Linked DNA regions of Macaca mulatta. The protein of the gene in region 1 binds, or shares a complex with, the protein of each later gene. Links are inferred from orthologs where the notes say so. Each region holds a gene or a part of one and is shown on either strand. Other genes may lie near its edges.

Evidence for each region.
Region 2: the proteins of BMPR2 (region 1) and INHBB are in contact, whole or in part, in a crystal structure (PDB 7U5O), measured with the Homo sapiens proteins. The link is inferred for Macaca mulatta from reciprocal best matches to the Homo sapiens genes BMPR2 and INHBB. Residues at the interface, in NP_001195.2 of Homo sapiens: Tyr40, Tyr67, Leu69, Val80, Lys81, Trp85, Ser86, His87, Ile88, Gly89, Asp90, Gln92, Ile108, Gln109, Tyr113, Phe115; in NP_002184.2 of Homo sapiens: Phe309, Asn318, Asp319, Ile322, Ala323, Pro324, Gly326, Tyr327, Tyr328, Thr379, Met380, Ser381, Met382, Leu383, Phe385, Asp386, Asn390, Ile391, Val392, Lys393, Asp395, Ile400.

Annotation. Positions count from the first base shown.
Region 1 is NC_133417.1:107,675,284-107,679,806, forward strand, and holds part of BMPR2 (bone morphogenetic protein receptor type-2 precursor), read left to right. Parts: intron 1-1,936; coding exon 1,937-2,107; intron 2,108-4,232; coding exon 4,233-4,403; intron 4,404-4,523. UniProt on the Homo sapiens protein: On ligand binding, forms a receptor complex consisting of two type II and two type I transmembrane serine/threonine kinases.
Region 2 is NC_133417.1:17,126,774-17,131,792, forward strand, and holds the start of INHBB (inhibin beta B chain), read right to left. Parts: upstream 3,349-5,019; 5' UTR 3,252-3,348; coding exon 2,804-3,251; intron 316-2,803; coding exon 1-315. UniProt on the Homo sapiens protein: Inhibins and activins inhibit and activate, respectively, the secretion of follitropin by the pituitary gland.

The sequences.
Region 1 (4,523 bases):
GAATCCTGACCTCAGGTGATCTGCCTGCATTGGCCTCACAAAGTGCCTGGGATTACAGGTGTGAGCCACTGCACCTGGCCAACATTGGATTTTTCAGTTGTATTACCAGTTTTATGTTCAAAACTCCTTTAAGAGGTTCTATTTTTATGCATTGTCTTTACTTAACCCAATCTCTTCATTTATAAATATGTAAATATTATGTATTTGGTACATATATATTTAATGGTAAAGTTTGAAATGGTAAAGTTTGTAATATGGTATATAATGGTAAAGTTTGAAAAGATGCCCGAGTAACCAAGAACAGTGGTTTCCTGGGGTGGAAGGAAGGAACATTGGAATAGACAAATGGGAACAAGGGTGTGAGTGAAGCTTTTCACTATGTAATCATTTATAAAATGGACAGATTGATCGGCTGACACTACAATTCTTTTCAGTGTTGTAATCCTATGAATCATGTCTAGAATATTTAAGCTATTGATAAAAGACCAGCATCTACAAAAATTTTAAGTTTTCTTATTACTGTTAATTTCATCTCCAGAATTTAGTTCTTAGTTTTGTTCAGACACATTATTTAAATAAATCAGCCTCAGTGCTAAGGTGCGTATGAATTAAGCCATACTAAGTAGGTACACGTTGAAAATAAAGAAACAAGTCAGAAGCCCCCAAGAAATATATTGGCCAAGTGTATTAGACTATTATTTTGGCTAGTCAAACACATTATAAAAGCCTACTGTAAGAAATGAAATAAAGATCAGATGTTGCTTTCGATAACCTTTTACTTTAGTATTCTCAGCAATGTTGGTAAATATTTATTAGCTGATAAATTATGTGGCAAATGTTCTACAAAAATTAGTTAAATCGGATTACATGTATAGAGAAAAACTGGCATTAAAAGTACATTAGGTTGTCATTTTAGGATAAGTCTATTGAGCATTTCGTCTTCTGGTTATTATATTGATAATTTGAATAATGGAAAGTAATTTTTTTGGTTGTGCGCGGTGGCTCACGCCTGTAATCCCAGCACTTTTGGAGTCCTAGTTGGGTGAATCATCTGAGGTTGAGAGTTCAGGACCAGCCTGACCAACATGGAGAAATCCCATCTCTACTAAAAATACAAAATTAGCCAGGCATGGTGGCACATGCCCGTAATGCCAGCTACTCAGGAGGCTGAGGCAGGAGAATCGCTTGAACCGGGAGGCGGAGGTTGTGGTGAGGCAAGATTGCGCCATTGCACTCCAGCCTGGGCAATAAGAGTGAAAATCTGTCTCAAAAAAAAAAAAAAAAGTTTTTGGTTTTTTTTTTTGCCTACTAATAGCCTAGTTTTTAAGAACAGCTTTATTTAAGTATAATTTATACCTGAAGTTCACTCAATTTAAGTGAACAATTCAGGTATTTTTTTGCAAATGTACAGACTTGTGCAACAATTACCACAGTCTAATTTTAGAACATATATGTACCCTAAAAAGAAACCATGTACCCATTCATAGTTACTCTTTGTATCATTGGTTTATCATACCTAATGATGTATATAACTTTGTATAACTACTATAAAATATGATAAAAGTAAGTACTATGCAATTTCCAAAATTATTCAGCCTTGTAGGTTTGTTTGTTTTGAAGACTTGGTAATTTTGAACATGGACATTTTCTTTGATGATATTTCTTTATTTGGACACCAAAATTATTTAATAGAAGAAAGAGTATGAGGGGATTGCTTTTGGGAAATGAGTTTTAAAATTTTCTTCTTGTTTGGAGTTTACAAATGAATTCATGAACAGAAGAACGTCATTGAATGTAAAATTACAAATTTAAAGATTTCAATTCAAATAATTTAGTAGGGAAATTTATAAAGTCATTCAGATAAGACAACGATTTTATGTAATAATATTTTGAAAACATTAAATAATTTGTCATTCCTTTATTTCCTTTATTTTAGCTTCGCAGAATCAAGAACGGCTATGTGCATTTAAAGATCCATATCAGCAAGACCTTGGGATAGGTGAGAGTAGAATCTCTCATGAAAATGGGACAATATTATGCTCAAAAGGTAGCACCTGCTATGGCCTTTGGGAGAAATCAAAAGGGGACATAAATCTTGTAAAACAAGGCAAGTGATACTTTCCTTACCTGAAATGACTGTGTTTTATACAATTGATATTTATCTAAAAAGGACATGGGAGTACGTTAAAATCCTGTTCAGAAAAACAGTGAATTTAAAAGTATATATATAAAGCTGGGTGTGGTATCTCATGCCTGTAATTCCAGCACTTTGGGGGGCCGAGGTGGGCGGATCCCTTGAGGCCAGGAGTTGGAGACAAGCCTGGTTAATAACATGGTGAAACCCCATCTCTACTAAAAATACAAAACTTAGTTGGGTATGGTGGTGTGTGCCTGTGGTCCCAGCTACTTACTCAGTAGGCTGAGGCAGGAGAATCACTGAACCTGGAAGGCGGAGGTTGTAGTGAGCTGAGATGGCACCAGTGCACTCCAGCCTAGGCAACAGAGCGAGATTCCATCTCAAAGAAAAAAAAAGTGTGTGTGTATGTGTGTATCTCTCTCTCTCTCTCTCTCTCTGTCTCTCTCTCTCTCTCCAAGCCCCAAATTTATAAAAGGCTGTTTATTTTTGGATTATTTTAAAAACATCTTTCTTATAATGTTATACATGCCCATTCTATGAATTTTGGAATATATAGAGAACTATAAAGAAAACAAAAGTCTACAATAATATACTCTTTAAAAATACTTTTACTGTATTTATCTTCTTCAGTATTTAAAAAGTATTTAAAAATACTTTTACTGTATTAGTTTATCTATCTTCATTTTCCACATGCCTTTATGTTTTTATATGCGTGTACTTTTTAAAAAATTAGGAACATACTGTATAAATAATTTCATATCCAGTTTTCTCCACCCTAATTATAAGCATTTTTTCCATGTCTTTAAAGAATCTCTGAAAACCTTTTTAACTTTTGCACAACTATCATCGTATATATGTATCATAGTTTACTTACAGATTATTCTATTGGTAAACATGTTATTTTCATGTTTTCACTGTAATGCAGAGTGAAACATGGTTGTTCAGTGAACAACTTTGAACATAATTGATTGTATGTGATTGTTTCCTTGAAATAGATCCCTTGATGTAGAATTATTAGGTTATAAGATATAGCAATATTTTAAAGACTCTGTATAAAAATTTCCATGTGGCTTTCTAAAAGTACTGTACTGTTCATTTATATTTCCTCCAACACTGTATGAAGGTGTCTGTGTTACTGAATCATTTCTCTGATATATATTATTTATTTATTTATCTATTTATTTATTTTTGAGACAGAATGTCACTCTGTCGCTCAGGATAGAGTGCAGTGGCACATTCATGGCTCACTGCAACCTCGACCTCTTGGGCTCAAGCAATCCTCCCAAGTCGGTAGGACCACAGGCAGGCACCACCATGCCCAGCTAATTGTTGTTTGTAGAGATGTGGTATGGCTGTGTTGCCCAGGCTGGTCTCAAATTCCTGGGCTCAAGTGATCCTCCTGCTTTGGCTTCCCAAGGTGCTGGGATTCTAGGCGTGAGCCACGGTGCCCAGCCATATTATTTTTTAAACCTAGAACAATATACTTTGTATAGACAAAAATGAAACCTTACTCTTGCTTTAATAATTCTTAGCTGGGCGTGGTGGCTTACACCTGTAATCCCAGCAGTTTGGGAGGCCGAAGCGGGCAGATCACCTGAGGTCGGGAGTTTGAGACCGGCCTGACCAACGTGGAGAAACCCCATCTCTACTAAAAATACAAAATTAGCCAGGTGTGGCGGTGGTGCATGCCTGTAATCCCAGCTACTTGGGAGGCTAAGGTAGGAGAATCGCTTGAACCCAGGAGGTGGAGATTGCAGTGAGCTGAGATCGCGATATTACACTCTAGCCTGGACAACAAGAGCGAAACTCTGTCTCAATAAATAAATAAATAAATAAACAAACAAATAAATAAATAAATAAATCTTAGATTAATCACGCAGTTAAACATGTTCCTTTTTCCCCCCATGAAATGTCTTTTGTATCCTTTACCATTTTTCTGTTTCTTAAAAATGTGTTTCCCGTTGATTTGCAAAACTGCTTCATAGCTTACATGTACTCTCACATTTATTGAAATTACTGCTTAGTTTGTTGTTTTTCTTTTAGTTTTCTTTATTGTATTGTCTCCTAACTTTTTTGTATTCATATTGATTTATAGGATGTTGGTCTCACATTGGAGATCCCCAAGAGTGTCACTATGAAGAATGTGTAGTAACTACCACTCCTCCCTCAATTCAGAATGGAACATACCGTTTCTGCTGTTGTAGCACAGATTTATGTAATGTCAACTTTACCGAGAATTTTCCACCTCCTGACACAACACCACTCAGTAAGTAAAGTAACTAACTTTTCTTTGTATTTCCTTTCTCCAAAGATTTGCAAAATAGAAAAAAAAAAACCATAAAAAACATTCAAGGTTGAGGCCGGGCATGATGGCTCATGCCTGTAA
Region 2 (5,019 bases), about 91 Mb from region 1:
AGCTGTCACACTGCACGTCTAGGTTGAGCCGCCGCTCGCCCCGCTCAAACAAGGCCTGGATGGCCTCCGTGAGCGGGAAGGTATGCCAGCCGCTGCGCTTGAGGTCCACCCTCTTCTCCACCATGTTCCACCTGTCACCATGGCCCTGCTCCTGGAAGTACACTTTGACCCGCACCTTCCGCCGGCTGCCCTTCTCCAGGACGTAGGGCAGGAGTTTCAGGTAAAGCCATAAGCTGGCCTGGACCACAAACAGGTTCTGGTTGCCTTCATTGGAGATGAAGAAGTATAGGCGGACCCGGGAGGAGGCGAGGCCATCTGCGGAAAAGGGGAAGAGCGAGCCAAGTTAATTCAAGGGGAACACGAGGCAATGGGGGAAACGCACTCTCTGCTGCAGGATGCTGGAATGCAACTCGCCACACAGCTGGAAAACGTTATTGACCAGAAATACCGTTCTTGGGGCCAGGGCCTCTGACTGTAACCTGGGAGAGGCAGAGAAAATCATTTCCCATTGAGAAACCCGGACCAGGTTAGGGCTGGAGGGTCCGGGCCTATCAAATCCTGCCTCACCTCTCCCAGGCCAGGGCTCCCTGGAGACAGGCTGTCAGGCCTCAAAGCACAACAGAAGAACTTGTCAGGGGGCCAAGATCTTAACAAGTTGTTATGGGTATCTGTGAAATCTGAAAAACAAAACCAGGATCGCAGGGAGGATTTTGGGGTGGGTGGTTTTAGTAGGGCTTTTTCTTTTTTTCTTTTTTTTTTTTTTGGTTAACTTAGTGCATTGCAAAATCAAGCTGAGCCACCTACTGCCTCTTTCCAGTGTTTACCTAAGTATGATCTGATCCAACCCCCAGTGGAACCTCCACTGCAAACAAGCAGGCTCTGCTCAGGTTTCTGACATAGGAACGCGTGCTTTGCAGGCTGCAGAGCCTAGCCCTTATTTCCGAGTAGTTTCAAGGGACAGGACATTCAGCCTTAAAACTTGAGGTCCAATCCTTTGACAAGACTCTGGCTCCCCGTTAATGGCACGTTCAAAATCTCCAAGGAGTAGGGGAACTAGCTTGTTAATTTTCTCAATAATTCAGCTCAACAAGAAGGAGGCTGTGCCAATCAAGAGATGACTCCCCTCTCATCCTACATTTCAGTGACCCTTCCCTCTGACAATCTACGTTTTCCTTTCCTTTTTTTTTTTTTTTTTCCAGGAAGAACAAATAACGAAACTCTGTGGTCAGGGCTGGTTTTATCAAACCTCCTACCATGCCCCTCCCAAGCCCCTACACCTCAGGCCTCGCCTGGCTCCTCTAATAACACTGACATCTGACTTTGAAATGGGGGAAACTGCAGCCTTAAAAGCTGGTCTTGGACGAGCTGCCTGTGACCTGAATCTGTTATTTATAAGTCAAAGAGCTGGCTCCGTGAAACGGACCAGAAATATAACAGCCCCCGCTGTCATTTTGTGCCACCGGGACCAAAAGGCCTCCTCGACCTTCCAGAATCACATTTCTAACTCTGGGCCCCAAAGCACCTTTTAATCCGAGCCCTCTAATTGCATGGCGAGCTTTCCCTGACTCACTTTAGTGGACAGCTAAAACGGCAATGCATTTCTTTCTAAGCACAAACCAGCCCCGATTGTCTCTGCTTTTCTCCACACCCGGCCATGCAAAACTTTTCATCCCTTTTCATCCCCAGGCTGCCTGCTGCCTGGGGGGGTGGGGGGCATTTACAGCCAGGGGCACAACCGCTCCCCCCACCCAGGCTCCCCGCTTGCCCCCGCCCTGACTGCACCGGGGCTTCCCCCTCTGCGACCTTCTCCGCAGTCCCCTCGGCACAAATGGGGCCGAGCTCCAGGCACAAAAGCCAGCCTGGCTCATTCAAGTCCTGAAAAGGACAGCGGAGTCGAAAGCACTTGCAGCATTTTGGCGCGGGCACATTTTTCTTCTTCTTTTAAAGTTCCGAAAGATTTTTCTCTCCCTGATTTTTATATTTAGACAGTGTTAGAGATTTGCAATCTGGGGCCGAGTGGGGGGGTGCGGATTCCAGAAAGGAGCCATACCCTTTGTTAACTACGACTCTGCGCCTCTCGGGCGAGGGGTCTGCTGCAGCTGCCAGGCAAGCCGAAAGGCACGGGGCTGTCCCCGAGCCGCGGCTTTCTCTGTGTAAATGATGGACCTGTTGAGAAGCCTGCCTTCCGCCCGATTCCAGTGCCCACACAATCGGAAGAGAGGTTGCCTAGCTCTCCCCAGCGAGGCTTCAGCAATCCTGGCAAGCCCACGCCGCCGGTGATGGAAGCGGCCCCAGGGGCCTCTCACGCAGGCACACACACACACACACAGACACACACACAGACACACACATACTCTCTCTCTCCTCCGGCCCACGTATATCAACAAGCACACACATCTCCATCCACACTGCTGAGCCTACACTCCGATCGTGGGAAACAAAAACATTAAGCAATCACCAACCAAGTGCCCGCAGAGCCAGGGCCGCGCGCATCTGCCGGGAGGGGGACGCGCGCCCAGAGGCGCTGGGGCCCGATTCCGGAGAGCAGGGGTGGAGGGCCAGGCGCTCGGCGGCGGGGGGTTGAGGCACCAGGAAGGGGGTCTGCGGCCTGGGGGAAGAGGACTGCAACCCGGGCGGAGCGCGCAGGGCCACGGCCGAAGGAGCCCTACCGGGAGTCCGGGCTGCCCCCAGGGCGCGCGGGCTGCGGCGGCGGCGGCGGCGGCAGCAGCAGCCGGAGCTGGCAAGGAGAGGGAAAGCGGGAGCGAGCGGGGACCGCGGCAGACAGCCGGAGGACCGGACCCACCTGTCTCGGCGAAGCTGATGATTTCGGAAACGCGCTCCTGGCCGTCGGCGCCCGGGCTGGCGTGGCCGTCGAGGTGCGGGATCTCCACGCGGCCGTCCTCGCGCACCTTGCCCGCGTGCAGTTTGCGCAGGGCCGTGACCATGGCGGCCTTGGGCACGGCGTGCGTGATGTTGGGCCGGCCCCGCATCTGCAGGCGGCTCAAGATGTGCCGCTTCACCGCCTCCAGGAAGTCGCCGTCCACTCGGCCGAGCTCCTCCGGCCGCCGGAAGCCGCCGCACGACGTACAGGTGTCCTGCGAGCCACCCGGAGCTCCGGGTGGCGGGGGTGGCGGCGGCGCGGCAGGCGACGGCGGGGGCGTGGGTGAGCCCCAGGCCTCAGGCCCCAGCCAGCCGGCCGCCAGCAGCAGAAGGCAGGCGGCCCCCAGCGCCCGACCGGGCAGCCCGTCCATGGTGCGCCGCTGGCGACGAGGGCGCCCGCCGCGAGGCGAGCCGAGCCGAGCGCAGGGCCGGGCTCCGGGCTCCGGGCGCGCCGCCCCGCCCCGCCCCCGCCCGGGCCTCCGCCCGCCCGCCTGCCGGGAGGGCCGCCGCCGGCTCACAGGGGGAGGGGGCCGGCCGGGCCGCGGGGGTTCCCGCGCGGCGGGGAAGGGGCGCCGAGGGCCCCGGGGGCCCGAGGGGCGCGCCGGACGGGGCGGAGGTCGCGGGTCACTGCTGCACGGGCGTCTCGGGGCGCCTCGGCATCTGCAGCCTTCTCCCCATCCTCTCCGCGTCGGGGGCCCCGCAGCCCCGGCTCGGGTGAAGCGAAAGCAGCGGCAGTGGGAGCGGCGGTTCGGCCGGCGGCCGGGGAAGGTGGCGAAAGAGCAGGTCCACCCAACTTGGCCGAGACGGAAGCGAAGGCGCTGGAGCCCCCCGGAGCGGAGCCGGGCGCGGCTTGGCGCGGCGCTGCGGCGGGCGCTGCGGCGGGGCCCCGCGCTCGCACCTGAGCGCCTCGCCCTCACTGCCTCGCGCCGGGAAGGGCCGCCGGCGGCGGAGACGGGCAGGTCGTCCTCGCCGCGGGCCGGCGGGCAGTGGCGCGGAGCAAGCGCGGTGCCCGGGAGAGCCGGCCGCGCGGGCCCGCTCACAGGCGGCGCCGAGCCCTCGGCCGCGGGCCCTGCAGTCCTCCCGGCGCGTCACACGGCAAAGTTGTCTCCAGGCTCCCTGGGCGCCGCATCCACGGGCGGGCGGGCGGCCGCAGCGCGCTTCGCCGTGGCCTCTGCTCCGCCCGCCTCCTCGCAGCCTCCCTCCTTCCTTCCCTCCGCCTGCCTGCGCGGCCCGGCCGGGCGCGGGGCTCCGGGCGAGGAAGGCGAGGAGGAGGCAGGGCCCTTCTCGCCCCTGTCTCTTCTGCCTGCCGCGGCGGCCGCGAGGTCGGCTCGAGCGCCGAAAAGTCTCGCAGCGTCCCCGGGTGCGGTGCCCTCGCTCGCGCTCGCACTGGCACCCGCCGCAGGGCCGGGAGAGAGCGGGCGGGCGGCGGCGGCGTCCCCGCGCCGAGCCGCGGTACGGAGTGCGGAGCTCGCCGAGGAGGAGTTCTTCTCTTTGCCCTCTCTTCCTTTACTCTCCCCGTTTTTTCTCCCAAGGGGGAAAAAAGCCGCACAATCTCCGTATGTGCGCGCGCGTTGAGATAGACGTTGGCAGAAAAAAGGGGGGGAGGGAGGGTGTCGTCCTGCCCGTGCGAGAGGAGACGGTCCGTGCCTCCCCGCTCGGGCTTCCCGGGGTGGGGGGAGGAGGGGAAGGCGGAATCTGTTCAGGTTGGGGCTGCTCGCTCCCCGCGCTCACCCCCGCTTCCCACCGCTTTTTTCCTTTCTGCCTTCGCGAGAAGGAGGGGCGACCCGGCCCTCTCCCCTCCCCTCCCCTCCCCTCCCCTCCCACCCCCCGCAATGCCCGGCTACTTTTGCTACCTCGAAACTTTCCCACCACGTGGGCGCCCCGGACCCTTGCCCAGTTAGGCGGCCAGCGGCACCGACGGGCTCCGGGCGCTGGATCCGGGCGCTCCTCCCGGCCCACCGCCCCCTCCCCGCGGCCGCGCAGGCCCTGCGCCTGTCCCAGCCGCCGCCCTCCCCAACCGGCAGAGGCGACTCCCGCCGCCGTGGCCGCCCCCGGCCCTCCCGGGGCGCTCCCTCGCGGCCGAGCCTGGCGAGGCGAGGGTGGTGCGGCGCGGCCTGGGACGCTAGAGGCAGGCTCCGC